5 linked regions of the Danio rerio genome follow. The main gene of each other region encodes a partner of the protein of the gene in region 4 in a complex. Links are inferred from orthologs where the notes say so. Each region holds a gene or a part of one and is shown on either strand. Other genes may lie near its edges. The genes, in order: ruvbl1, mbtd1, morf4l1, ing3 and anp32e.

The links.
Region 1: ing3 (region 4) and ruvbl1 share a complex: the UniProt entries of both Homo sapiens proteins name them as parts of the SWR1-like complex. The link is inferred for Danio rerio from reciprocal best matches to the Homo sapiens genes ING3 and RUVBL1.
Region 2: ing3 (region 4) and mbtd1 share a complex: the UniProt entries of both Homo sapiens proteins name them as parts of the nuA4 histone acetyltransferase complex. The link is inferred for Danio rerio from reciprocal best matches to the Homo sapiens genes ING3 and MBTD1.
Region 3: ing3 (region 4) and morf4l1 share a complex: the UniProt entries of both Homo sapiens proteins name them as parts of the nuA4 histone acetyltransferase complex. The link is inferred for Danio rerio from reciprocal best matches to the Homo sapiens genes ING3 and MORF4L1.
Region 5: ing3 (region 4) and anp32e share a complex: the UniProt entries of both Homo sapiens proteins name them as parts of the SWR1-like complex. The link is inferred for Danio rerio from reciprocal best matches to the Homo sapiens genes ING3 and ANP32E.

The regions. Positions count from the first base shown.
Region 1 is NC_133181.1:43,388,074-43,394,191, forward strand, and holds the start of ruvbl1 (ruvB-like 1), read left to right. Parts: upstream 1-1,434; 5' UTR 1,435-1,581; coding exon 1,582-1,722; intron 1,723-2,344; coding exon 2,345-2,431; intron 2,432-2,553; coding exon 2,554-2,686; intron 2,687-3,833; coding exon 3,834-3,985; intron 3,986-4,101; coding exon 4,102-4,191; intron 4,192-6,118. Other genes in the region: eefsec (selenocysteine-specific elongation factor), read right to left, coding at 556-847. UniProt on the Homo sapiens protein: Possesses single-stranded DNA-stimulated ATPase and ATP-dependent DNA helicase (3' to 5') activity; hexamerization is thought to be critical for ATP hydrolysis and adjacent subunits in the ring-like structure contribute to the ATPase activity.
Region 2 is NC_133187.1:35,464,936-35,470,937, forward strand, and holds the start of mbtd1 (MBT domain-containing protein 1), read right to left. Parts: upstream 4,105-6,002; 5' UTR 3,959-4,104; coding exon 3,938-3,958; intron 2,921-3,937; coding exon 2,719-2,920; intron 1,096-2,718; coding exon 962-1,095; intron 1-961. UniProt on the Homo sapiens protein: Chromatin reader component of the NuA4 histone acetyltransferase complex, a multiprotein complex involved in transcriptional activation of select genes principally by acetylation of nucleosomal histones H4 and H2A.
Region 3 is NC_133193.1:21,420,032-21,426,148, reverse strand, and holds the start of morf4l1 (mortality factor 4-like protein 1), read right to left. Parts: upstream 3,962-6,117; 5' UTR 3,779-3,961; coding exon 3,739-3,778; intron 3,666-3,738; exon of another isoform or gene 3,145-3,665; intron 2,797-3,144; coding exon 2,750-2,796; intron 539-2,749; coding exon 471-538; intron 105-470; coding exon 18-104; intron 1-17. Other genes in the region: rxfp3.3a3 (relaxin-3 receptor 1), read right to left, coding at 5,909-6,117. UniProt on the Homo sapiens protein: Component of the NuA4 histone acetyltransferase (HAT) complex which is involved in transcriptional activation of select genes principally by acetylation of nucleosomal histones H4 and H2A.
Region 4 is NC_133179.1:11,169,270-11,175,236, reverse strand, and holds the start of ing3 (inhibitor of growth protein 3), read right to left. Parts: upstream 3,950-5,967; 5' UTR 3,816-3,949; coding exon 3,788-3,815; intron 3,659-3,787; coding exon 3,587-3,658; intron 2,713-3,586; coding exon 2,612-2,712; intron 1,668-2,611; coding exon 1,602-1,667; intron 1,341-1,601; coding exon 1,244-1,340; intron 968-1,243; coding exon 896-967; intron 817-895; coding exon 700-816; intron 1-699. UniProt on the Homo sapiens protein: Component of the NuA4 histone acetyltransferase (HAT) complex which is involved in transcriptional activation of select genes principally by acetylation of nucleosomal histones H4 and H2A.
Region 5 is NC_133194.1:45,170,309-45,175,692, reverse strand, and holds part of anp32e (acidic leucine-rich nuclear phosphoprotein 32 family member E), read right to left. Parts: intron 2,720-5,384; coding exon 2,597-2,719; intron 2,483-2,596; coding exon 2,320-2,482; intron 798-2,319; coding exon 670-797; intron 590-669; coding exon 535-589; intron 1-534. UniProt on the Homo sapiens protein: Histone chaperone that specifically mediates the genome-wide removal of histone H2A.Z/H2AZ1 from the nucleosome: removes H2A.Z/H2AZ1 from its normal sites of deposition, especially from enhancer and insulator regions.

The sequences.
Region 1 (6,118 bases), on a different chromosome or scaffold from region 4:
GGTAAGGTGTGTTGGGTGAACATTGTAACTACAGATTTCACTCATTCATTTTCTTTTCATCTTAGTCCTGCCAATTTATCCAGCATATGTTTTACGCAGCAGATGGCCTTCCAGCAACCCATCATTGGGAAACATTTACATATTTATAGTGACATTTATTTCAGCTTTAGGTACATGGAGGTGTTTTAGAGTACAAGTTAACACAATAAGTGTATTACATTTAATATTAATATTTCGATTAAATTGTAGTACCTGTTAGTTTGGGAAGAGGGTGAGATTTTTTTCCCTGACAATGTCTGTTCTGTCTTTAGAGTGATTAACATGGCATCTTCAAACGCTGCACACACACCACCTATTGATCAAAAGTGGTACTGCTGCACAGATTATAAAGTGCCCTGACAGGTTACTATTCTGTTGGTTAGTTAATTAAAAACAAGTCAGTACGTAAGTCAGTAACTTCTAGTGCTTTGTGTACGTAGAAGGCGTGAAGTCACACGTCAAAGTGAATTTTATTAGTGTAATTGTTGCTTTACTGAAAAAAATACACCCACTTACCCCCGATGATAGTGCGTATAAGGGAGGCATGTCCTGGACAGTCCACCAATGTGAACTGCAGACTGTCGTATTGTTTTTCCCCGCAGGACTCCCTCAGGTGCTCCGGTAACGGCACCGTGAACGCACTGAAGCCGAGATCCAGCGTTATGCCCCGCTCTTTGGACTGCGGGTTCTTGTCGAAGGCTGCAGTGGATGCGGTGCTGCTCAGCGCCCGGGCGAGAGATGTTTTCCCGCTGTCCACATGGCCGAGGACACCGACGTTAAAGTTCAGTGTTTTGGGAAAATCTGTCATCTCTGGATCAACACCGCGGTTGGGTAACAGAGAGTGAATGCGCAGACTTTGAACTGCTGACAGCGACGCTGCTGGTCAAAACAACCAGCTTGATGTCGTCAGACAACCAACTTACTGTAATTTGATGAATTTTGATAATATCAACTTATTAACTTTGATATCAGAAATAAAAGTGTAAACTAAATTCCTCGGCTCTTACTTCATTCAGCAAAGTTTTCAGAAATTTGACAGTTGCTCTTCCTGCGCTGCCAAAAAACAATCCCTGAGCTGGCAGCATCTCACATCACTGGTTCCGCCTCACGGCATTTTGTTTGAGAAAAGAAACATTCCTCATGAACAAAGTTGTTTATAAATTAGTTTAAAAGTAAAAATAATCTACACCTTGGAAATATTATGTTATCTACACTTCTGAGAGAAACTATTTATGGGAACCCACAGCGTAGATCCTTGTTCCAACACAACATTTCAAATGTAACACACACGAAGAATAGGGGCGGGTTTACAGTGATCAGACCGACAGTTGCAGTGTCCAATGGTCATGCAGAGTTTCCACAAGTTGACCAATCGTTACAAAGAACCACTGAAAAACGTTTTGCGGACGGTACTTCCTCAAATCGCCTTGGTTACCCTCATGGAAACGCGGGTCTCTTGTGTTTGATTTTAACGGCCTCTCGTGAGACAGGCGTGTGGTTGTTTTATTCACGCACAGCGCGTTCGATTAATTATTAAGAAACATGAAGATCGAAGAAGTAAAAAGCACAACCAAGACGCAGCGCATCGCTTCTCATAGCCATGTGAAGGGCCTCGGTCTGGATGAGGCTGGTAATGCTAAACAGTCCGCGTCCGGGCTAGTGGGACAAGAAAGCGCCAGAGAGGTAACACTAGCTAAAGACCAATTTCCGTGTTTATTTCATTAATTAAGAAAAGCAAACATTTTAATTTGATAACCTCGAATGATTTGTATGTAGCTGGCTATATGTGAAGAATAAATACAAAACTTCTAATTCATTTGCTTGTGTCAAGAGCTGGATACAATTGATTGTAAATACGATAAATTCATATACTTTCATAGGCTATATATGAAGAGTTCAGATGCAAAAACCTCTAAGTACCGTCTGAAACTTCCATTAAAGCTGAGCATTTTTATCTCAGCATTCTATATTGATTATTGATGAGTTATTTCTCTTTAAAGATCATTAAATTAACATACTTTTTAATTATTCTTTAATTTGTAATTACTGAACCTACTAACAGGAGCCTGATAAAAATGTTTATTTTAGAAGAACATTTCAGACGGCTTTTAGAAGTTTTTGCATCTGAACTCTTCATATATATATATATATATATATATATATGGAATATTTTAATCACACTTTTTAAACAAAATAATGTTTTCATGTATGTGACATTTTCTGGCCTGTAGTTTAGCCCTGGGCTTTAAAAAAAAAAACTGATCCTGTTACATAAACATCTAGAAAATTCTTGCATATTTGTTAGGCTTGTGGCATCATCACTGAGCTGATTCGTTCCAAAAAGATGGCTGGCAGAGCCATTTTGCTAGCCGGACCGCCTGGAACAGGCAAGGTAAGGGTAGACTGGTTTTATTTACACTGCACTGTATAATTAAAATGGACATTAAAATAGTTTCAGAGCTGTTGTTTAAGATAGTATGTATAGTCTGCCCATTTGATTTCTATCCACCACAGACTGCTCTAGCACTGGCCATGGCACAGGAGTTGGGAAATAAAGTGCCATTCTGTCCTATGGTGGGCAGCGAAGTTTATTCATCAGAAATCAAGAAGACCGAAGTGCTGATGGAGAACTTCAGAAGAGCCATAGGTGAGCTCTCACACCACCATAACCTGTCAAAAAAGGATAGAGGAAAAGTTTTTTTATATATTCGCACATTCAGACTTTCTGCTTAATAATATAATTTCATAAAAGTATTCTTTGCAAATTTTAAATAGTGAAATCATATTAGCAGTCAATGACTATCAAAGTACAGCGTTGTTCAATCAATTACATAGTGCTAATATTGTTTTGAAGTCATCCTTGCATGCTATTTTAGACGCAATATTCAACTTGCCGTGGTAAACAAATATGGGCCATTAATGAAACAAATGTGCAAATCTCAAACATACTTTATCTAAATCAAAAAAGGCTGTTGGCCGTTATCTTGCGTAATGAGTGATTCCTACCATCATTAAATCAATTCAATCAAAACTGCTGATTCAATTAAAAATGAAGCAAGTGACTGTCTTTAATATAAAATCGAGTCTTTGGCTCATTCGATTTGTTTAAAAATAGATTAGTTCTGGAACAATGCATACCATCGTTGCTCTGAAATGTGTAAAATGTTTTGGTATGACCGTTCAGAACTGATTATGTTGACAATTGAAAATAACACAGTATTTTTGTTTTGAAATGTAAACTTACTGTTTTTTGAGCTGTTGATATTTTTGCTTTTTTACTTGAAGTAAAGGGTTTATAGTCCTAGGCTTAACCGCAGTGTTTAGACTGAATATGTATTTGTTTTTATAATGAGCAACATGCATTAATGTCAGCTAGCGTGTCATTAAACAGCAGGACTAAGTGAATATCATTTTATTTTAGATGATATAACACACCCCTACAATAAAGAAGCCATGTAAAATCTGTATTTTCCTTTATGTATTCCTATAGATTTGAGCATGACCTTGTACTGTTCTTCTAGTTGGTTCACAACCCTCAACTCTGAAACCCTCAAGTATGACTCTGAAACAATGTAGACTATGTGATCAAATGAGATATGCATGAATGCACACATTATTACTACGCTGACAGAGATATATGGCATGAACCATTGAAAATACACTTCTGGCTTTTTATTACGTAATGAAATATGTGGTTTTTGTAAAAGTGTATTGGCCAGTAAAACCGAAAAACTATTAAAAGTGTTTATATCAATCTAGTATCTAAAGTTCTGTTTTGTTTTTTGATCGAACAGGTCTGCGTATCAAGGAGACTAAAGAAGTGTATGAAGGAGAGGTCACTGAACTGACTCCTTGTGAGACTGAGAACCCAATGGGAGGCTATGGTAAAACTATCAGTCATGTCATTATTGGTTTGAAGACAGCTAAGGGGACCAAACAGTTGAAGGTAAGGAAGTGCAGGCATGTTGTTATGTTTTTTTTCTGCATGCTTATATTTCGTAGATAAGCTGGATGGAAGCTGATTATGTGGTTGTTTGAAGTCATATCTCATCTCTCCTGCAGCTGGATCCCAGCATCTATGAAAGTCTGCAGAAGGAGAGAGTGGAGGTCGGTGATGTTATCTACATCGAGGCTAACAGTGGGGCAGTCAAGGTATGGACAGATATGCTTCGCTATTCTCTCTCCTGCGGTTCTATAGTTGGCATGTTGAAGTAATCTTTTGTCAGTACAGGTGGGCAGGTAGTCTGGCAGTGGAATAAAGGACGAGATTGTCTCTCGTATTTTTAAAAGAACGTAATACTTTTATTAAGCAAGAATGAATTAAGTGAATTCAAAGAAAAAGAGACTATAATAATGCTACAAAAGATTATATTTCAAATAAATGGAGTTTAAGTTCATTAAAAAAAATCCTAAAAAAAAAAAAAAAAAGATTAGAAGAAAAAATATTAAGCTATAAAATAAATATTTCTTGAGTGCCAAATCAGCATATAAGAATTAATTCTGAAAGTTCATGTGACACTGCGGTAATGATGCTGGAAATTCTCGCCATTACATGAGTAACATATTTTTGAAGGAAAATAAGTTTAAATAAATGCAATTTTAAAATTAGAAACTTTGTAAATACACTGTTCAAATTTGATCCCAGTCAGGGGTGTCTTTTTAGTGACCAATAATTGAACAGTAAAGTCAATATAAATTAGTTTGTTTTGTGTTGGTTTAGACCTGTCTTGGGAAAAAAATATTCTTCTGAAAATCACCAGTAGTTAATGGTAAGTCTTAATACCTGAATTCATGAACCATTTATTAAAATATGTTCAGTATGGCCACTTCAATTAGAAACTACATGAATGCTTTTGTGAATGGACAATTTTAGTTTAGTTATTAGTTACAAAAATAGATTCAGATTTCAAAATCTTCCTGGTAGTTCAAATCAAATCAGGTAGTACTAAAAGCTAACTGTAAATGCAACCCCTTGTTTGTTAACCTATTGTATAATTTTAATATAACATTTGTGTGGTAATTGGGAAAATGTCATTTTTGCTTGTGTGATGTTACTGCATCATAACTATTATATCCTACTGAAGTCATAAAAACAAAATAATAATAATAAAAAATTATATATTTTTTGTTTCCTCAATTAAATGCATTTCAATAGGCTCATAATATAGTAATAATATTAATTGTATTAATTATAATTATTAATCTCACAGCACTAAGCCTGTCACAATATCCATTTTTCTTGTCGTACGATATATTGCACCAAAATACATTGCGATTAGACAATATCATTGTAATTTCAAGACCATTTTATGCCATATACAGGGTTCATACGCTCCTGCAAAACCTGAAAGTCATGGAATTTTGACAAGACATTTACCAGTCCTGGAAAAATAAAAAACCCAAAATGATTTGGACAAATCACGAAAATTAGTTGAACAAATATCTGTGTACTTGAATATTTGAGTTGATATTGGGTAAATTTCAAATACAATCGCGATGTTTATCCTTTCACATGACATTTTCTGTGTGGGGCAAAAAGCAACTTGCAGTTTCAGCTACTTTCTCTAACTACAGAGGTAAGATAATGTGGGTGCTAAAGGCTATTTTGTTCTAATTCAACAAGTCTTGTCAAGACACAAGCCAACATTTCTAATAATTTTCACACAAGATAATTTCTAAAAACTATTTTACAGGTATAAAATTAACAAACTACATAGATCAAATATCAAGGTCAAATATTTTGCTGTAATAAATTTGGACATACATTTTTTCTGATTTACCACATGTACTTAGACATTGCTTGAAACATTAGCTCTTTAATATTTACCTGAAAGTTTTGGAAAAAGTCCTGGATTTTTAGCATTAAAAATGTGTGTGAACCCTGCATATATATATATATATATATATATATATATATATATATATATATATATATATATATATATATATATATATATATATATATATAATGCCAGAATGACAATATAATAGCATCACAATAGAAATCTGTAAGAGTCCAGCAGTGGAGTTTGGTGAAGGTGACGCCCAGGTCAGGTCTCTGACACCTACACTAGAGTAA
Region 2 (6,002 bases), on a different chromosome or scaffold from region 4:
ACATATCTGATAATCTATTGAGCAAATGTAATAGTGTAAAATCTGTAAAACATCACACACTGCCATTCACATTCTTGTCCTCTCACTGGTAAGCCATGAAAAATAGTACTTGTATTTAAACAGTTATATTTTTTTTTTGTAGAAACCATGATATATTTTTATGTAAAATAACAGCATTGATCGTAGTATCAATCATTGATCAATAGTAAAGACATTTTTAAGTTTTACAAATAATTTATGTAGATTTTGATAAGTTTCTAACCAAATAAATCTTAATTTATTTCAAATAAAGACAATAAACATTTAATTCATTCATTTTCCTCCGGTTTAGTCCCTTTATTCATCAGTATCCAGCATATGTTTTACACAGCAGATGCCCTTCCAGCTGCAACCCAGTACAGAAAAACTTCCATACACTCTCATTTACACACGTACACTATGGCCAATTTAGTCTATTCAATTCGCCTATAGCGCATGTCTTTGGACTGTGGGGGAAGCCGGAGCACCCGGAGCAAACCAACACAGGGAGAACATGCAAACTCCACACAGAAACACACAAACTTATGGTTATGGTATAAGTATAAATCAGCGTTTACCAGACAAATATGAAACATTTTTTTCTCTCTCATCTGTAAGTTTACCCCCTAAAAATCTAGTTTATATGTAATTTTAATAATGTATGCACTACCATAAAATTATCCCAAACATTCTGAAATTCTTCACAAAAAGTGAGTCAATCCATCTTGTAAAATATATTTCATATCGCAATGCATATCATTTAAAAACTGAATATTGCAATGTCAATTTTTTCTAAAATTGTGCAGCCCTGATATTAATCATATGAGTGCTCCCAAAAACAAGTCGAAATAAGTCAGAGGTGTCTTTATGAAAACCTAACACAACACACATACTACAACTAGCTGGAAACTGCAATTTGTCTCAAAGTTAACACCCATGTTACCTGAAGTCTTGCCAGTATACTGGCCTTTTTAGAATTGGAGGAATAGCTTCTGGAACAGGACACGCTGCAGAATCTCTTCGTTTTAGAATAGAAAGCATCTCGTACACCAACCATACCACACATCTCACAGGTTGCTGCATGAGAGGGAGGAGGAAAAAAAAAGCATATTTACACCACTGAACATATTTATTCTCAACAACAAACCAGTAAACAAGTAAACAGGGCACCAAATACAATTTCTCATTAGAAACAATACTGTACCGTTTCTTTTCATAACATTGCTTGTGTCAGGTTTAAAATTAGGGATGTGCAATATGACAATATATGGACTAAATCAAACGTTTATCGTTTCATATTATTCTCTATCTTTTATTTCACGGTGGCACTACAGTAATACTTATAATTCATTTGACCGCAATTTTACACTGCATTATGTGGAAGCAGACATAAACATGAATAAAAGCATCATGAAAAAGTTGCAATATTGAAAGTGCAACGTCTACATTTTGCAATATTTTATGTTAGGCCTGCATTCATCTTATTTTTCATTAATTTTCATTTTATATTACTTCATTCCTAAAAAATTTGCCCTGAAGTTCTGAAAAAAATTAAAGATATGATCACATATAAATAAGAATGAATTACATTTTAACAGAGTATATCCCTTAAAATGTAAAGAAAAAAGACATTTCCTTTCTATTTAGTGAATGTTTATTAGGGATGCACCGATAATATTTTTGGCCGATATCCATAACTGTTGAGATTTGGAGGCTGATAACCGATATATTAAAGCCGATAAATATAAATATTTCAAAATTTGATATTTTTATACAGTGAACAGCTGATTTTGTTTTTAAAAACTTAATAAAAGTTTGAACTGATATTTGAATAGCCTACTTAAAGCAATAAAAGCAATAATTTCAAAATTGTAGGTGATTATATAGACCTATATTTATGATTTCACATAAATTAGCATGCCAAAAATAAATGATTTCCTTTTCTTTGCATAGCAAATTAACATGCAACTTGACTGTTGCATAAAAATAATAGGTTAAATAACAAAACAAGATTTAATTAACAAACAAGTTAAATAAATAGTAAAACGAAAATGAAAGAACACAGAACTGAAAACAGCGCAAATGTTCTTGAATAAACCGTGGTTTAGTAATGTACATATGTAGAACTATGCAATGTCCAAAAAAGCATTTTGTGAGGTGTTTTGACAGTTCAGAGCAACAGTACAAGCAAAAAGATAATACAGATAGACAGTATGTTTTACTTTAGAAAAATCGGCATAAATTCATCCTATTTGGCGTTTTAGATTCTTTTGAACATATAGACGCTTCTTGTCAGACGCTTTTATGATCATTTTTGCTGTCAATAAAAAATGTGAGGAAAGCTTCATTATAGTGCACTGGACAGTTTTGACCCACGCATTCTCGAGGCAGGCAGTTCTGTACAATTACGTAATCTATCAGCTTAAAGATATATGCCTAATTTTGATATTGGATCGATAATAATAACATTAAAAATAGCATTTAACGCCCTATAACAATATGGCCACCGATATATCGTGCATTCCTAAATGTAGATAAACTATTAATTAATTGAATTTAGAAAAAAGATGTATATATCTTGCCATATATCTTTAAGAATATGTGATGACTTTTATCATGATATAGGATTGTCATATCGCCCAGCCATAATTTAAATAATATTTAGGTATGTTTTTTGACTTTTGTATCCACATGACTAACCCATTCCTGCTTTCCCGTCAGGATAGGTGTACACCTGGCCATTGTTTTTGATGATAGGCAAACTGGCAGGGATGCTGGGAACTTCATCTTCACTGTCCTCCGAGCTGGAGCTGCTACTGCTGTCTTCACTGCAGCTGTCATACCCGTCAAACATCCCGAACGAATCTCTCCTCTTCCGCTCTGAGCGGGGAGTGTGCTCAGCCTACATGTGACGAGGTGAGACAAAAAAAATGGAGAATATTAAAAAGAGAGAGAGAGAAGGAAGGAGTAATGTTAAATTAAAGTAAGGGCAAAGAAAGACAAAAGGATTACAGCTCTCTTGCACAACCATAATACTTTAATAAATGACCACCTTTGACATGATACACCATGATTAATATTGTAACTAGTAATAACCACAATCTTTAAAAGAGGGAATTAGGAGGCGGCTCAAATCACATTATTAAAATTAAAGGCTTCCAAGGGTCACAAGAAGCAAATATCATGTACAAAGCACTAAAGATTCTACACAATTATCTCAAGCCAGAATATAAAAGGCGCATATATATATATATATATATATATATATATATATAATTTAAATTTGCTGCATTTTGAGAAATTACATATTTATATTCATCAATACTTCAACACTAGACTGTAGAAGGACTCCAATACACTGTGACCTGATTTCAGAATGAACATTTTGGGACCTTTTCTTCCCCTGAAAGAGTACCATTTCAATTCTCATCTCCTAACATTCAATTTTACCACAAATTAATGCTGTTATTATCCCTATTAACTACAAGTGAATGATTTTAGGTCATATTACAAGCCCTCACAACACAAACAGGCACATACGCTTATCTTAAGCCCTAGTAAGATGCCTGCTCGTACATAACAGCTCGTGAAAACGTTTTAACGCATATGCGAGCCTCGTAAAAACTGTGTGTTGGGAAACAAACACAAACATTTCCACATTCATTGGCCTGCGGGTCTATTGCAGCAGCACAAAACATATACATTACCAACTGTATTAGCACCATTTAATAAGACAGCTTATTTGAATGAAATGTTATATGGCATAGAAAGAATTACGAGTGATTCGAATGAGGTAAACGCTGTAGTTTGTGTGACGAGCAGGATCTGTTTCTGACAACCAAAACAAAGAGGACGGCTAACTGCTAAGCCGCTAACTGAGCTAAATCAAGGAAGCGGGCTCAAATAAACTCTTTCTTACCATATCCCTTGGGTTTTCCATTAGCCCTTCATGCAAGTCGGTATCTTACGTTTGTTGTGGTATGATCCGACAGCCCCCCGGAGGGAAAGGGCCTGGCTTGAAATTATTTTACTCTATAGCAAAAAATAACTCCAGTTGATTATCAACAATTGTCATGGCTCGAGAGTGCGCGTGCGCAGGGATCTACAATGATTGACATATGTTTTAGCCAATCACCGTTCACGTGTTCGGCACATTTACCCCATATTTGGTCACAGGAAATGTTTGAGTGAGGGAGAATGATTACAGATCAAATAAAATCGGATTTAGTGGTGGGAATAGCAGATTTATTGACCCTAACATTAAAATAGAATGTTTACGGTCATAGCTTAAAGGCAATATAATTTAACAGGTTGTAACAATGGTAGCGACGATAAATGTAAACAGATATTTGTTACAGAAATGCTAAGATTCCTGTAGGATGTAAAATTCATGGTATTGCTTTCTTCTACCAGAAACGTACATTATCTGTCTCTGAAATATAAATATAAACATAAATACAGTGGATAAAAGTATTTCATCCCACAAATGTCTAAAATGGACTGATGGTTGATTTCTGTGAGTTGTTCTGTAAATGAATGTCATTCTTGTCAGATTATTTTTCTTTATTAAAAACACTTTACAAATGTACAAACCCTGTCATTGTCCTTGTACTCAGCTCAATTTAACCTACAGCTTTAACAGTTTTGTTATGCTAAAAACTGTTATTTAAAAGTTTAAGCTGTGATCATTCACATCAATTGATTAAAAAAAACATGAAATTATAAATTCTACAAATACATACTACAAATATTATGAATCAAAGAAATGTACAATTGTCCCCATGTTTCTGTCAGTCCAGTCACATCTGCATCAACATAAAATTCCTTTAAGGCTATGACATCGAAAGTGACATCATCTGATGGAGGAGAAGCTGAGTGCGATCAAGGATGCGTTCCATCATTGAATTCTTATGATTTTATACTTGTTTTGTATGATTTTTTTGAGGGCGACAAGCTTGACAAGCCCAGTCACATTTTTATAAGTGGATTTTTCTAAGCATGATAGTTTTATTAACTCATTTTATTTTATCTTTGCCATAATGACAGTAAATAATATTTTGCTTGATGTTTTTCAGGACACTTCTAAGTGACATTTAAAGGCTTAACTAGGTTAATAAGGTGAACTAGGCAGGTTACGGTAATTAGGCAAGTTACTGTATAATGATGGTTTGTTCTGTACACTATTGAGAAAAAAAATTAGCTTAAAGGGGCTTATAATTTTGTCCCAAAAATGGAAAATAAGACTTTTTCCAGAAGAAAAAATATTATCAGACATAGTGTGAAAATTTCCTTGCTCTGTTAAACATCATTTGGAAAATATTTAAAAAAGAAAAAAAATCAAAAGGGGGCTAATAATTCTGACTTCAACTGTATATCATGGCCCTCATATGTATTTCTTTTCTAACATTGAAATTGCTGTTACTATGTAAAGGATTTAAATAAAGTAATACACAGTGAAGCAGTGAATTAGGATATATTACATATGTTTAAACTTAGCAAGCCCAAATACATTTTATGAAATTTTATAATGCATAACAATCACTCCCAAAAAAGGTTTAGTCTGCAATTTTCTGAACACATAAGGACCCCATTATTATTCTATTTATCACTGTATGTTCTTATAAAATAGAGCTAAATTTTCCTTTTGGCTGCAAATTTTCCCCTTGTTGTCTGCTATTATTGTTGATATTCCACCTTGTCCAATTATTTGTTTATTGGGGTTCTCCCACCCGGCCCTCTCATTTGGTAGACTTTATAGCATCTTAACCCTTCTGGCTAGGCGATTAATTCTTCTGAATTGGACGAGCCCTTACCCCCCTTCTCGCACTTGTTGGATAAGAAATGTTCTTTATTTTATGAAGTTGAAGAAAATTAGGTAACCTCTTCACCGACCTAACACTATATTCATTAAATCGTGGGAACCCCTTCACAAACATGTCCAAACTCTTCAGCTTGACCCTGCTCCTTCTGATTGAGTCCCCACC
Region 3 (6,117 bases), on a different chromosome or scaffold from region 4:
AAACTTCTTTCACTCACTGATTTGCCTTCTGAAGCTCTTTCTGTTTCTGCAGGTTACTGTCCACATATTTGAGCACACGGCTTTCAGGAACCCATTCGTCCCAGCTAGAAACACATTGATCACACTTTCTTAAAATAAATCATTAAAAATAAGTCACTTGTAGACTACATTTACAATTTCAACTGGTATAGACCATTTCAATGTGGTCATGTAATCGGCCCATGAACATTTTCTGCTTATCAAACCTTTTCCTAACTGTAACAAGTGGCAACTCAATCATAACTTAATATTAAAACAGCTATCATATGTGGTTGTTTTTGGATTCTCGGCAGCTAAAGAAATTAAAAATGTAAAACAGGAAATACGTTGGAACCATTGTTTTTGTTCACATCACTCAAAATGGTCTATAACCTGTGTAGTAAACAACAAATCAATGCAATTAAGTGAGCATTTTAAATACACAGACTTACTTCTTATTCCATCCACTGTAATGAATAAAGTATTTCACTTGTTTGTCCTTGATATTGATTTTTACACACTGTAAAACATAAAAAAATACATGATTAATGAATCATCTTTCTGACATCTTTGGAGAAACAACATTTAAACTATCTTTCACAAACAAAAAGAAAATATCATGATGGCAATATTGCCCAAAGGTATAGCTCTTTAATAAAAATCTAAATAGGAATAAAATAAAAATCATTTAGTAAAAGGAAAAACCTAAAATTACACAAAGTTAACCCTCAACTGCACGCATCATGATAGCTCTATAAAAAAAAAAAGTATTTGACTGTTTTTCTTTTCTTGGATTGGCTTAACTTGAAGTGCTGCAAAAAAGATCTGGGGAAATGAGAAGTTGAGGTACTTTATGATATGCTGCGATATGACAACAACATCCATTAGTGGATCTAACTTTATTTAAAATGTAGAACTTTCCTTATGAATTATAATTTTGTTGTTTGAAATTATTTAATTGGTGTTGCAGAGTTAAAAGCTTTAACACAGAACTTATAAATGACACCTTATACGGTTGAATTTAGAATTATTAAACCCCCTTTTATTTTTTCTTTATTTTTAAAATATTTCCCAAATTTTGTTAAACAGAGCAAGGAAATTTTCACAGTATGTCTGATACTATTTTTTCTTCTGGAGAAAGTCTTACTTGTTTTATTTCGGCTAGAATAAAAGCAGTTTTAGATTTTTTTAAAACAGTTTTAAGGTCAAAATTATTAGCTCCTTTAAGCTATATTTTTTCAATAGTCTACAGACCATTATTATACAATAACTTGCCTAATTACCCTAACCTGTCTAGTTAACCTAATTAACCTAGTTAAGCCTTTAAATGCCACTTTAAGCTGTATAGAAGTGTCTTGAAAAATATCTAGTCAAATATTATTTACTGTCATCATGGCAAAGATAAAATAAATCAGTTATTAGAAATGAGTTATTAAAACTATTATGTTAAGAAGTGTGTTAAAAAAAACATACTCCATTAAACAGAAATTGGGGAAAAAAATAAACAGGGGGGCTAATAATTCTGACTTCAACTGATATTCCAAAACTTTTTATTTAGTCCATTCTTTTTAACATAATATTGTATTATCATGTAGACAACATACAGAAAGTATAAATATATCCTCTAGTAAATATTATAACAAATAAATAAGTCTAAAATATTCAGATGCATCAAAATAAACTTTTGCTACCAGCAAACTATGTTTATATATTAAACTATATACTTTACTACATCTGTCTTATATACACCTCTGAGCTAGCTAACTTAAACTGACTTCATCACTGCTCTTATCAAATGTCCAATCTGCATTATTCTCATTGTCACCATCTCATCCTCACGTTCATCTGTGGGAAGAGCCAGTTGTGTCCTTTTCTTCTTTCACTAACTATAGAACATTGTGGTCCTCACTAATACACTGTTCCTTGTATTTATATCTAATCAAATGCACTGCCATTAAAATTAGATTTAACCATAAAGCAAATGCCATTAACATACAACTAATCAACGTTATATTACTAGCATTCATGTTGTTATTGTTACAACTTTAAAGACCACAGCTGAGCTGACCTAGCTAGCTAATCTATCGCAATATCGCACATTCCTCTATTGTACAGCATTTCCATTTGCTAGCACATACATTTGATCGACTTACAAAATGCTAATTTGATCAAAATCTTTTTGAGTTGTGAATATGTCATCATAACTTATTGGATGTGATGTCTCAGATTTTGTTTGTGGATCTGGCATGGGTTGATGCTTTGATTTTATTGACTTTTTCATTTGCTTTCAGCAACTATTCAAAATAAACGCCAGTCTAACAGAAACCAAGCCACAGAAAAACACTGCACGTCATGTGACTTAACCGAAGCACATCATTGGCTACACTAAGGTCTTCTCTTTCCAATAACCACAAAAAAACAAAAAAAACAAACAGAACGTTGGTCTTAAAGAAACACTGGCAGAAGAAGAAGAACAGTGGCACTGGCAAAAATTAACGGTATTATGTTGCCATATGGCAACACCATGGGGTAGAGGGCTAACTATACAAAAACAAATCCCTTTACTTGACACAGAAAACAATACCAAAGCATTAATATGATAAACAAAACCACTACAAACACATGACTACATTTACACTATAAATGTAATGCCATTCAGGTACTGCTTTCAGGAAAACAAATATCAAAAAGCCTTTTGAAGCATGCATAATGGCATGAATGATTCAGGTACCTTAGCTTCGTATAGCAATGGCCCATGAAAGCACAGCACTCGTTCACCTGAAAAAACATCAGAAATATTAATATACAATGACATCCACTAATGGGCTAATAAATAAAATAGAAGTGTTACATATTCAAATATGTGTGTGGGCACAGAATATTGTACTTTCAGAAAATGCCACAACAAAGAAATGTTTTAAATGTATAGTAGATTTATAACAGTCTGCAGTATATTTACCATATTGTTTGTTTGAATCATAATTAAGCTCATTATAACCAAAATATAATTAGCATTTTCAATACACAATACTTAAACAAACGAGAAATACGCACATTTAAAACCTGCTTATATAGTCAAACAATACATCAAATCTGACTGTTTACTTGACATATGCGTTTACTTACAATCACCAACAATATTAACTCATATTAGAGTCCCAGTTCAGGAATCAGATTCAGAATAGAACACTGTTCTAAAGATTCGATTCTATAGAACGATTCATTCAGTTATCAAAAATTGCTAATGGTCATTTTAATGCAATAATATAGCCTTTCTTTGCTCATTATCGACTTCAGTTTTAGAACAGCTCCGAGCTAACGTCGTTGTTTTTACGCTTCAAATAAGTAAATGACTGTTCCCGCCAGGACTTCAATACTGCAATGGCCGCTTCCTGTAAACAAGGCCTGCTGTATGCTAACGGCTACATCATAGACAACAGCTAATGTTTTGTTTCAGGAACACGCCGCTGTGTGCGTCTGCAGAGGCTGTCAGATGCAACGAAAAGCACCAACGTGCGATCATGCACTCGCTTGACAGGTGATGAACAACTCTGCACAAGTTAAAGGCGGCAACTCTCAGCTAAAAAGTGTTTTGTAACAGACAGCTCGCCGTGCGCGCGCGCCATTGTGCAGCGGCAGCGCCCGCTTCCTTTGCACGGCAGAATGAGAGGATCCCCGATCGACGGGTGACTCTCGTGGATGAAACAAAGCGCATCTTACCTTCTTGAAATTTAGGTTTAGGGTCCTGTTTAGGCGCCATTCACAGATTAAACAATAAAAATAGCTGGAAAATCAAATCCAGGCATTGCCAGCTCCGATTTAATTCACGCAGGGTGAAGGCGCCGCGCTGCGTTCCTATGACGCACTTTACTGGCGCCCTTGTCAGGTGACTCTCATAATAAACAGCGTTTATCCAGCAGCCCCTGTTGACGAATGACAGAAGTTGTGCTCTACTCACGGCAATACATGTAAATAAGTGCATTTATGCAGATATATTTCAACGTTACGCCACGCCTCTTCTATAATTTATGTTTTTATTTCTTGTTAAAATTTAAAGGGGTAGCTGCACCAAAAACAAAACAATTGAGGTTATGCAAGGTGTACACGACTTTTGTTTATATATATATATATATATATATATATATATATATATATATATATATATATATATATATATATATATATATACATATATATATATATATATATATATATATATATATATATATATATACATATATATACATACATACATACATACATACATACCATACACACAGTTCTCAGCATAAATAAGTACACCCCTCACAAATCTATCTTTTAAATTCATATTTTTAATAGGAATCTATACTATATTAGTCAGTACTGAAGCAAATCTGGAGCCTATCTAACAAAATAACTTACGATAACAGTCCAAAAATAAGTACAGCCAAATTTATGTTATAGAAAAAAATATTAAATGCAAATTTAAGAAAAGAGAAAAATAAATAAATAATATTTTTTTTATAGGTTGTAAGTTTTTTTGGGGCCATATTTTGCTTGAATTTAATTGTATTATCTTTAAAAAAATTTATGTTTGGTGACTAAAATATTATTTCATTAAATAAATTTGTTTAATAAATTTGTTTCGTTTAAATGCACCACAATACATTGCCTATATTCACTGACAATTGGATACACATATGTGTGTACTTAATTATGCTCAGCACTACACACACACACACACACACACACACACACACACACACACACACACACACACACACACACACACACACACACACACACACACACACACACACACACACACTTTTAAGTCAGAATTATTACACCGGCCCCTCCGGTGTAATATCTTTTTATTATAAAAAGATATTATCTTTTTATAATATTTCTAAATTATGTTTAACAGAGCACAGTATGTCTGATTATATTTTTTCTTCTGGAGAAAGTCTTATTTGTTTTATTTCGGCTAGAATAAAAGCAGTTTAAAATTTATTATGTATCATTTTAGGGTCAAACCTATATTAGCTCCTTTAAGCAAAATTTTTCAGACTGTGTACAGAACAAACCATCGATATACAACAACTTGCCTAATTACCCTAACATGTATAGTAAACCTAGTTAAGCCTTTAAATGAGCTAAGCTGTATAGAAGTCTCTTGAAAATTATCTAGTTAAATATTATTTGTCACCATGGCAAAGATAAAATAAATCAGTTATTAGAAATAAGTTATTAAACTATTATGCTTAGAAATTTGTTAAAAAACAATCTTCTCTCTATTAAATGGAAAGAGAATTACAATCAAACCTGAAAACATTAACCAGAAACAAAAGTGCAACACATCAAGGTTTCCTTCATTTGTTCGTTTGTTCAATCATTGATTTCAGTGTGCCACTCCAAGGGTGGCCCCAGACATCCAATATTACAGGTGGAGTGGCGTACCATCCATCCCACATATAAGACAGAATTTTTAACTAATCAGCCACTATTCTTAATTGAAGCTTGATACATTGCTATTGAGTGTTCAGCAGTTTCTTGACAATATAAACCTCAAGAGGAAATTTAAACGTTTTTTTTCCTTGTGACAATTATATTCTTTGTATACCATTTGATGCAGGATTTATCCCATTGCGCATAGTAATTATATGAAATTATAGTCAGAATTATTTATTATATCAATATTTATTTAGAGGTCAACCTTATTGTACAATAAATAGTGAAATATGCAAAGAGAACACATTTTGTTTTAATAGTCATTTTCACACATGCATGCATTTAAAAAGATTCAGTTTGGTCTCAAAATAGCACCCGACGACATATGCGTACATAATTTAATACTTTAAATAAAAACAATACATCATCGTGTGATATTTACACGCAGTTGTGCCATTTATGCATGCCTGCTGGACTTCTGTAGAGAGCTCTTTAATAACCAGGGGGCAAAAATGGACAAACATTTTTTCAGTTTCTTCCTCAAAGCTCTTCTCGTAAGACAATATATAAAAGGATTTAAGCAGCTGTTAGTATGAGCCAAACAAACAGTCACGGGGAACACATAGGTATGGACAACATAATAAGCCTCATCCCAGCGAATCGCGT
Region 4 (5,967 bases):
TGTATATTTATACTTTTGATTCAGTGTACATGAAATAAATTGATCAAAATTAATAAGAAAGATAAATTATGTTATGAAAGTTCTTGTTTTAAAATGTACACTGCAAAAAATTAATATCTTACTTAGATTTTTTGACTTGTTTATAGTCCAAATATCTAAAAATTCTCATCAAGAAGCATTTTCTAGGCAAGCAAAACATAATGGATTGTTTTAAGAAATTATATGCCAATATTAAGTTAATTTTTACTTAAAACAAGCAAAATAATCTGCCAATGGGGTAAGCAAAACAATCTTGTTCTTCCTTTTGACATAGATTATTTTTCTTACCCCACTGGCAGATTATTTTTCTTGCTATAAGGAACTCACTTAATAAAGAAAATCTGAGAAAAGCATTTTTTGCAGTGTAAATTTTATTTATAAACTTTAAAAGACTTTTAATATTTATAAAAGTTTAATTTTGATCATTGATAATAACACCACAAATTGTTTATCAAAAAGCAAATTATTCCTTAAATTATTTCTAAAGGATCATGTCATTCTGAAAGCTTTTTATTCCATAGTTTTTTTTTTATTCTTACCATACACAGAACACTGCAAAATAAATGTCTATGAAGAATTTCTTGGGTTCACCTGTGTTTATTTTTGTGTTGTGTCTGTTTTTACAGGCTGACCCAGGAGAAGAGAGCATGTGTGTTTTACCTGGTGTGTTTTCTTTAGTGGCGTCTGACGTGAGCGTGGAGAGCAGGGCCTCTGACTTAAACTTCTTTTCAGGTACGTGTTCAGTAGTGTGGTGGGCTGGCGTGCTGTATTTCCTCTCTGTCAAACGACAAGGAAAACAGGTCAGAGTACTGGAACCAAAAATTAGACAGAAGGTATTTTCTTGGAACAAACTTACTCTCCACTGTGGTGTGTGAATGTACGTGGTGGTTGTTGACAGGTTGAGAAGGGCTGTCCATCTCCAAAGACCCTAGAAAAGATAAAACTGACTTCACGAACAGCTTAAAAATGAGAACAAAGCTACAAGATGATTAGTTTACTAAAGCATGTCCAGACATTTTAAGATATGTGTATACTTTTCCTGAAGACAAGCAATCAGTTATTTTTGTTCATATTAAAAACATGTAGATATCATATTTCTTTAAATGATTTACACTGATTTTAAAAACTTGCCAACTCCTACCTTTTTTATCTTTTGAAATTAGCCAGTTATCTGTAAAAAAGGTGATTGAGAGGCGTCACTCACGTCTTTCCAGGATCTCTGTGATGCCAGCGTTATCTGCTTCCAACTCCATTTTAAACTTTGCCAACTCCTGATCCAACTTCCGTAAATGTCTATCAACCTACATAAGAGGCACAAGATCAACACACAACGGATTACACAAACCCACACACAAGTTCAAATGTCACTTCTCATTAGGAAAAATGTATTTAAAAACGTCTATTAAATCTCACGAAAAAGCATTAGTATGCATTTAAATAGCAAACAAAAAAGCTTCCCAGAAATCCATTGGCTTTTTACTATTAGTGATGTGCTGCCACCTACTGGGACCATACAGTACTGACACAAAGGCTAGTGTTGCTAGTTACAGTAAATTACTCACCAGGTCATAAATTTGATTGGCTAATTGGACCTTTTCATCCGCATCTTCTAAAGCTTTATAGTAGTCCTGGTAAACAGAAAGAGATCATTAGGAAAGCATATTATCTTCTAATGCAAAACTATCCATTATTAATTTTTTATCAATCATTGTTATGACTTAACCAGCAGTTGTTTCATCATGATTTCATCATTATTTCATCATTATGCAATTTAAAAAATAATAATGAAAATAAGGAAAATATTGAATAACAAATGAAATAAAAACAAAAAAATAATATATCATATCTTGCTAGTAACAAAAAATATGCACTGTCAGTTTCAGCGTAAAGATCTCATCTTATACATACAAACTTTATTATATCAGTTAAGCAAATGTTGTGCTTCACTTAGAATGTAGTTTAGATGTTTTATTAAATTAAATTGCAATATAATTTTTATTGTTCAATATATTTTGCAGCTGATTCCGGGAGTAAACAATATGGGTAACACTTCACAATAAGATTGCATTGGAAAACATTAGCTAATGCAATTACTTACTAACATTAACAAATAATAAGCAATATATTTATTACAGTATTTATTCATCTTTTTTAACATAAAATACAATTGTTTATTGCTAGTACTTGGTAACTCAGTTGATTAACTAATGTTAACAAGCAAAAGCATGGATTTTAATAACACATTACTAAACGTAGGACTATGATTAATTCATAATATGCAAATATTGTTCATCCTTAGTTAATGGTAATAAATAAATTAACTATACTGGAACTGTATTGTAAAGTGTGGTTGTAATATTTAATATCCATTCATTTTAAAATGTCATATATTGCTTTTCCCCCCCTTTTGTTTAATTTAAATTTTGAAAAGAGTCAATAAAAAGTGTCCAACCCAAAAACACTGATGGTTCAAATAAGGAAAAGCATTATCAACATTAAAAGATCTCATACTACATTATTATCACCTGCAGAACACTCAGTTCGACTGAAGTGCACATCATCTGTTCTTTACCTTTTTGATGATTTCCATCTGTTCTTCCCTCCATTCAGGCTTGTTCTTCTTGGCATTAGTAAAAAACTCATTGACCCGCTGCTCAAGCTGATCCATCGCATCTGAACAAAGGAACATGATCAAAAGTGAAGTCAAGAGCCCGACTTGGCTCACAACCACACAGATGGCGACTGTGGAAGTCTATGGTTGGTTAAAGATCTCAGTAGATCATTAAAAGGCTGTAGGTGCAACCCCTACAAAGGGTGATTCATGAATCACTGCTAAAGCTGTGGAAAAATATCCAGATCCCAATCACCACAAAATAAAATGAAATTATTTAAAACTATATAATATAAAAATATTTAACTGATGTAAATTAGGTTTATCTTAATTATAACTACAAAACTAGACTTGAATATACACATATAAACATTGATTTAATAATATTAGTCTTTCCTTATGATTTTGGTGGGAAATGTAACCGGGAAATTACATGTAATGAAAACTGTCTATAACATTTCCAAGAAGAAATGTCTTTGTGATAACTGTTTTGTAAAAATGATTTAATTAGAAATATATACATTTCTAACTAGAATGAGTACCTATGCATGTTTATGGTTGATGCAAAACCTTAATCTGTTAACAAATACATGCATTTGCTATAAGTAAACTGTGTTCCCGTGTGATGAAGACAATCAAAATCTTGTCAATGGGGGCACTGTCAGACTCTAAATTACTTGGGGTGACCAAAAAAATGCATTTCAATGCAATAATGTATCCTAAGTTTTCCCTGGTTTAGGTGACACTGGTGTTACTCAACTTCCACATGCTCTAATTGCACTTAACATCAGTGTGCAACATCACAACACATGCATGCTTTTATTATGCTTGCAAATTCACCAAACAGATCTCCACTGATATGAAAGGCTCTTTACGTTAGTTTAAGTCAGCTGTGGTGTTCTAAGGCACAAAAGTGAGTTTAAACTGAAACCGTACTCTGCACTTGCAGGTCCATCTCTCTCATTTCCGTAAACCTGTCGCGGAGATCCATGGGTAGCTGCTCGATCACTGCCGGGAAGAAGAACAACCGCGTTACAAGCTAACGGATGTGACAGCAAAACACGCCCTAAACCACCCTCTAAAACACCTACTTACGATAATACGAACATATATAGATAAAAGAGCTGTTTTACTCACTTTCGAGGTAGTCCTCAAGGTACAACATTCTGGCGGAGATGGTTTTTCGGAGGTTTCAGAGAAAGGGTGTTTTTCGGCAATATGGCGTCGCGGGCAGCGGAGAACTGAAGGGGAGGAAAAAACACAAGCTGGCGGGGGAGGGGCTTACGTGAAGGGCGTGGGATCTGATTGGACGATGGTGGAGTTGCGCGGAAGCTGCACTCTTTATGAAAATCGTTTTTATGGAACTTGTAGTTCTTTCAGTTGAAACTACGTCAAGCGCATTGTGGGATGTCCAACGCAATCTGCCTTTTGTAACTTTTAGTACTTTGTACATTTTAGTACGATTTGCTCATCTCCCAATAAGAGGTAGGTATATATATATAAATAAATAAATAGATAAATAAATAAATAAATAAATAAATAGCCATTTTCGTTCTGTTCTAAACATACTTGTTTACATTAGATATTATATCACGTAAATATAATTGTTTAGACACAATTGTTTAACAGATAAATTCATTTTTTAAATAAAACTGACATAACAGAAACGTTCAATCTTTAAGAAAATAAAAAAGCATATAAAGCAAATAAAGTAACTAACATGTAAAATTAAAGTAAATTTCCACAGAGATAAAGGCTATATCATTTATTGGCCACATAAACATTACTTAAACATATTTCACTGATTTTAAGACAAAAACTTGTAGATTATTTTATAGTAGCATTCTTTTTGAATACATTTTCATTTACAAAAGAATGATTATGTATAACATGAAGAGAAAGATGTAAATGATAAATAAAGCATGCAGAGTATAAAACATTGCAGTAATACAATCAAAAAAGTCAATTTTACACTAATAATTGTTTCAAGTACATTTTACATACTTTTGAAATATATGTTTTATCATTAGAAAATCTGTAGTTTAATTTGTAAATCAGGTATGTCCAAACTCGGTACTGGAGGGCCGGTGTCCTGCAGGATTTAGCTCCAACTTGCCTCAACACACCTGCATGGATGTTTCTAGAAAGCCTAGTAAGAGCTTGATTACCTAGCTAAGGTGTGTCTGATTGGGGTTGGAACTAAACTTTGCAGGACATCGGCCCTCCAGGATTGAGTTTGGACACCCCTGTTGTAGATCAGTAGCAGTGTTAAAGAAGTTACTAAATTGTATAACTTATAGAAATAATTCAAATGTTTTGTGTCTCTTAATTTTGTATCCTCATGGTTATTAGAGACATAGAAGACTAGTTTGAAGACTGCAGGTTTAATGCAGCTTTGGCCTTTGGAGGGCAGCACTGACTGCAATATTTAATGACAGTTCTGGCAACTTAGTGCTTCTGTCTGTGTGTAAGAGGCTTTTGCACAACAGTGGAAGACAATGTAACTGCCCAGCTGTCTCTGGAGAGGAAGAAACCTCAGCCTGACCCCACGTTTATTGTAGACAGTTATGATTTGGTTCAGTCGTGGTGTAAGAGGCTTTTATAAAACATCCCATTAAAACCCTTTATTTCCAAGACAGAATTACCGCACAGCTGTAGACATGAACTGTTCTGCAAAGTGACATTGCACCTCTGCGCTCAATTTAGATCAAATAAAAATATGCTGGAGATCATAAACAGGAAACGTGGCTCCTCTGATGACTGTTCCGTCTGCGTTTGTGGCCGTTTCAAAGCTATTTCTGGTTGTCTTTTTATATTTCTTCTCATCTGAGTTTCCTGGTGCTATATTTGCACACTGGAATATCAAATAATATCAGTCAGCATTAAGGATGCTCCGAATAAAACAAGGCTGATTGTATTGGTTTGGTGTACTCTATATACTACCTGACAAAAGTCTTGTCAGCGGTCCAAGTTTTAGGAACAACAAATAATAACTTGACTTCTAGTTGATCATTTGGTATCAGAAGTGGCTTACATAAAAGGGAAAGGCCTCTAGATAACACTTATTTTACCAAAATAAAATATGATCATGCTTTGATTTTGAATTATTTAATGAAGACAATAAGGTCTGACTTTGCTTAAACAAAAGTCTTGTCACTTAACAGAAATAATGTACAGTATAGAATATAAAATCATGTAGCAGTGGAAAATAATTAATATTGTGTATGACTCCCATAAGCTTGGATGACTGCATATATAAATCTCTGCAATGACTCAAATCACTTATTAATAACGTCATCTGGAATGGCAAAGAAAGA
Region 5 (5,384 bases), on a different chromosome or scaffold from region 4:
GATTCTTTGGATTCATCTTCAATGCCTCCATCTTACTCCAGACATGCTCAATAATGTTCATCTCTGGTGACTGGGTTGGCTAATCCTGAAGCATCTTGACCTTCTTTGCTTTCAGGAACTTTGATGTGGAGGCTGAAGCATAAGAAGGAGCGCTATCCTGCTGAAGAATTGGCCCTCTCCTGTGGTTTGTACTGTAATGGGCAGCACAATTGTCTTGATACGTCAGGCTGTTGATGTTGTCATCCACTCTGCTGATCTCTCGCACGCCCCCATACTGAATGCAATCCCAAACCATGACTTTTGCTTCACCAAACTTGACTGATTTCTGTGAGAATCTTGGGTCCATGCGGGTTCCAACAGTTCTTTTGCAGTATTGATGATGATTGGGATGCAGCTCAACAGATGATTCATCAGAAAAATCCACCTACAGCCACTTTTCCAAATGATCAACTAGAAGTCAAGTTATTATTTGTTGCTCTTACAAGACTTTTTTCAGGTAGTGTACGTCTACTAGATAGCATAACTGATGCTTACCCTCGCCGCCTTCCTCCTCTTCCTCTTCTACGTAATCATCATCATCTTCCTCGTCCTTTTATCAAAGGAATGGAGTGTTAATAAGATGCATAGTTTAACAAAAGGAAAAAAAAAAGAAAGCAGCAGCTACATCACCTGGATGTCCTCTTTCATTAGATAGGACAGCCCAACTTCTCCACCCTCTGAACCTTCCTCATCCTCCTCCTCTTCTTCCTCGTACTCTCCCAGCTGCCCTGCTCCTTCGTCACCATCCTCATCATCGTCTGCATTAAGTGGTGGAAAAATTACATAACGCTCAATACTTTTCTACTGCACCATATGTGTGGCTTTTATTTTTTTGCTTATTATGTGAGTTTTTAACAGCAGATGTCGCTCAGACTAGTTTAACCATACGCTTAAATACAAGTGGAAGACGTTTACATTTAGCAGACACTTTGGTCCAAATCAACTTACAATTGAGGCATTCAGCGATTCAACAAGAGGAGGCAACACACACAAGTGCTAATTATACAAAGGAAAGAGCGCTGAACACATCAGCTTAGTCATGCAAGTCACCTGTAAGTCATGATATTAATGCAAACACTTCACGATGAACTTTCTTATAATTCACTTACAGCTTTCCTAAATTTATTAATGATAATTAAGGTTCATCTTGTATTTATTTATTTATGTTTTAATAATAATTCAACACTTATATAGCACTTTTTTAGACACTAAGCACTTTACACAAAGGGGGGAGGGGGAGAGGAGGGGACCGCACACCAGCTTATTGGTGGAGAGGAGACAGAGTGATGAAGCCAATGGTCTGGAGGACATGATGGACAGTGGCCAATTTTGGCCAGGATGCCAAGGATAAGTCCTAGTCTTTTTCGAAGGACATCCTGGAATTTTTTTATGACCAAAGAGAGTCAGGAAAACAGTTTATCGTCTCTATTGAAAGACTCAGAGCTCGTATAGAGTCCCCTTCACTATACTGGGGCATTAGGACCCACACAGACTGCAGGTTGAGCGCCCCCTGTTGGCCTTAAAACACCACTTCCGGCAGCAACCTAGCTTTCTAGTCTGGTCTCCCATCCAGGTAATAAGCGGGCACAGCCCTGCTTAGCTTCAGAAGGCAACCATGTGAGAGTTGCAGAGAGCTACCTGCCGGCATAATTTATATATACATATTATTATATATACACACACACATCATATATTATGCCATGGCAAGAACTGTACGAAGGAGGATCAACTGGTATGGGTAAGGAATTGGATTCAAGAATAGTGTGGCTGTTTGTAATCATACAGCGCCATCTGCTGTTAAAAACTAAGCTCAGAATACATTCAAGAGAGAGCAATGCAACTATGAAAATATTTGAATTGATTTTTTAAACAATTTTCCTCCACAGCTCTAGTTAATTATTCTTTTTTTTAAACTGTATATATGATATAATTGATTTTTAAGGCAACTAACCTTAACCTGCAAGACGTTTGTTTTTGTTTCTATAAATGTGTTTAATACCATGTCAGCATCAGAGGGTATATTCATTGCAAACTCAGAGGTAGTAACATATATAACACGCATATAACTACACAAAACCATTTAGCAAAACTATACACAAAGAAAACAATATCATTCTTATAAAATCCATTTATACGTAAAGACTTGGCTTATTGCTAAAAATAAATGAAAAGAATGTAACTTATTTATGTTTAAATGTCACGATGAACAAGAGCTTCAATGTAGCGCCTTAAAAAGCTTCGACCAATTGATTAAACTTCACCATGATTTGTGTTTCTTACCATCATCGTCAGCCTCCGAGTCTGGAGCTTCGTTGTCTTCAGCGTCGAAGCCGTCCAGATATGTGACCTGAGGCAGCAGCTCGAAGATGCTTTCCCTGTAGTCCTCCAACGTGGTGATCTCGCAGTTAAACAGGTCCAAGCTCTTCAGGTTCTTTAGGTTTTGCTGAGGATTGAAGAGTATGTCATGCCTCACTGATTACTTAACACCTCCAAAATATAGGATTTATTCAACAATAAGTCTATATGGTTTAAATGTATTATTATAGTGTGTATTTACCAGGGCCTCCAGTGTGCTGAGCTCTTTGATCTTGTTGCCACTCAAATTAAGGTAGGTCAGATTGGCGCATTTCTCAGCAAGAGTCTCCAGTGTCCCCGAGATGTTATTATCGCTCAACTCCAACTGGAAAAGACAGAGTCGCTTTAAATATGAACATTCAGTAATTCAGTTTCACTTTCACGGCATTTAATAAGCTCACTATAGAACAATGTCAAACATTGCCTGAATCAAATTCCAACCATTTACGAAATTAACAATGTTTGATAAAGTCTGTGAAGTGATTTTAAATGTGCGTTATATTTGATGTTTGACGTAATCTCAACCGAAAAAGAAAGAGAGGGTGGGACATAATGTAGTCCCTCCCCTTTTTTAAAAATAGCCAATCGCATTTTGTTTCATCACCACTCATGCAGTGAGTGGTTGAGCTCAAGTGCATCAAATGTGAAGCATCCTAAAGGAGGCGGGGCATGTCAGATACGAGAGAGCATTTGATTGGTTAAGATTTGATGGAAAAACTTAGGCCGCATTTACACGGCACTGTTCAAGTGAATCAATTCCGATTTTTTTCTCCCATGTAGCACAGATCGGATTTGGCCCATGTTCGTGTTAGCAGGAACAAATCACTTTGATTCTGATTTACTCAAAACAGATTCAGGCCTTGTTCATATGTGGAAATTTATCAGATATATATCGGATCTGTTCTAGTGTCTGCAGTGTGAGCAGGTGGATCGGATTTTCACCTGTCAATGCGAGTCACGTGTCATTAAAAACCGTAGCGAATGATGTCATGTCTGATGCTTTCATTTCAGAACAGACTTTAGTATAATCCCAAACTTTAAATCTCATACACGAGGACTTAAACAGCTTTTAAATTGTCATATAGCACGGGTATTTAAGCATGTTAACGAGAGCGAGAGAGCACAATGTCTGCTACATATCCATTATAAACTAATATAAAACTAGTGCATAGGTACATCACGTGCATAAATCCCGCCATGGACATCACATTAAGATGCCTAAAGGTTTAAAAAAGCCTACATATCAATATAAACTATATTGATATAGTTATAAACTATAGTAAAACAGCTCATCAAAAGCTGTGAACAGATTACATACAGGAATAGAGAAAAGAGCACTCTTTAATTATCAGCTGTTAGTCAGCGCCCGCTTTTTTTTCTCTCCTGGTCATTACGCCTGTAACCCCACCAGTTCTACACAACCTAACCTGCTCCGAGCTGATATTGAACCGGCGACCTTCCGCATGGGAGTCGGTTGCTCTAAAAAGGAGGCTAAAGACCATGGCCTCTAGCGTCTGTCGCTAGAGCACCTTAAGAGGTCAGAGGAGTGAGGTTTACCTGCACAGCTCTTACTAGCTGGCCTCTGTTACACTCACCCCCCTAAACCTCACTCCCATCTGGGTCACGGCACCAATGTAACACCGCCAGTCCTACACCACCCAACCCGCTCCGAGCTATGATCGAACCGGCGACCTTCCGCATGGGAGTCGGCTGCTCTAATAAGGCTGGCCTCCGTTACACGCCTTTGCTGTGTAAATGCAGACGATTGGATACGAGTCACTTTTAAAACATGATGCAAGCAGGTCATCAAAAAAAAAATCCGATACAGTCACAAAATCGGAATTGACCATCACGATCTGCAGTGTAAATGCAGCCTAATAGTGGAAGTGACAAACTACAAGCCTTACATGTTTATATTAGTTTTATATCTTCAAAACCGTGACAATTTGCGTTTTGAAACACGATAGCTTATAGATATCCTAAAAACTAACAATACTAACATCTAAAAAAACGTTCTTTTATTTCATGGGACCTTTAAAGTGATAGTTCAACCAAGAAATGAAAATTCTGTTATCATTTACTCATTCTCCACTTCATCTAAAGCTGTTTGAGTCTTTATTTCTTCTGTTGAACACAGATCTATTGAAGAAAAAACTAAAAAACAAAACAAGTATTTGGGTTTCTACTAAGGATGTCAATGGCTGCTTTACACCAACATTCCTCAGAATATCTTCTTTGGTGTTTTACAGAAGAAATGCATGTGTTTATAATCAATACAGTGCAAGCAAACAATGTGGAAAGTCACATTTTTGGGTGAGCTATCCCTTTAAAGCATGATTACTCAAGTACTGCATGCCATTTAACATCTATATAACATATATAGTAGACTTGTGCTTTATACAAACGTGCAATAATAAATTAACCTACTTCAAATGGATATTTTCCTGTCTCAAAACACTCTTTTCCACTAAGCATCCTCAATCCATTTTTCGTGCACTTTAATAATACAGCGTGTCTACATTAATATGTAAACCGTTACAGTATCAGCTTTCAGCACGGTTAGAGCATCACACTTAAAGGGACAGTTCAGTTAAAAATTAAAAGCGACTTGCCATTTACTCACACTTAGGTGCTTTTAAACATTTATGAGTCTTTATAATATGTTGAACACAAAACAAGATATTTTGAAGAATGTTGGGGGAAAAAACAGCCATTGAAATTCATAGTAGATACAAAAACAATTGATGCTTTGCAACAATCCTCAATACATCTTCAACATAAGAAAGAAACTCAATGAGGAATGGATTTGAAGTGGAGGATGAGTAAACGACAGATGATGTATTTTCATTTAATGCCATGTCAGCAACAAAGGCTATTTTGCATGGCAAAAACATTTCAGTAACAAATACACCATTTAAAAACAACAAGCAAATGAATATAGATATTACATCTGACTTTTAACATTAATGCATAACACTTTCCTGGTGGCA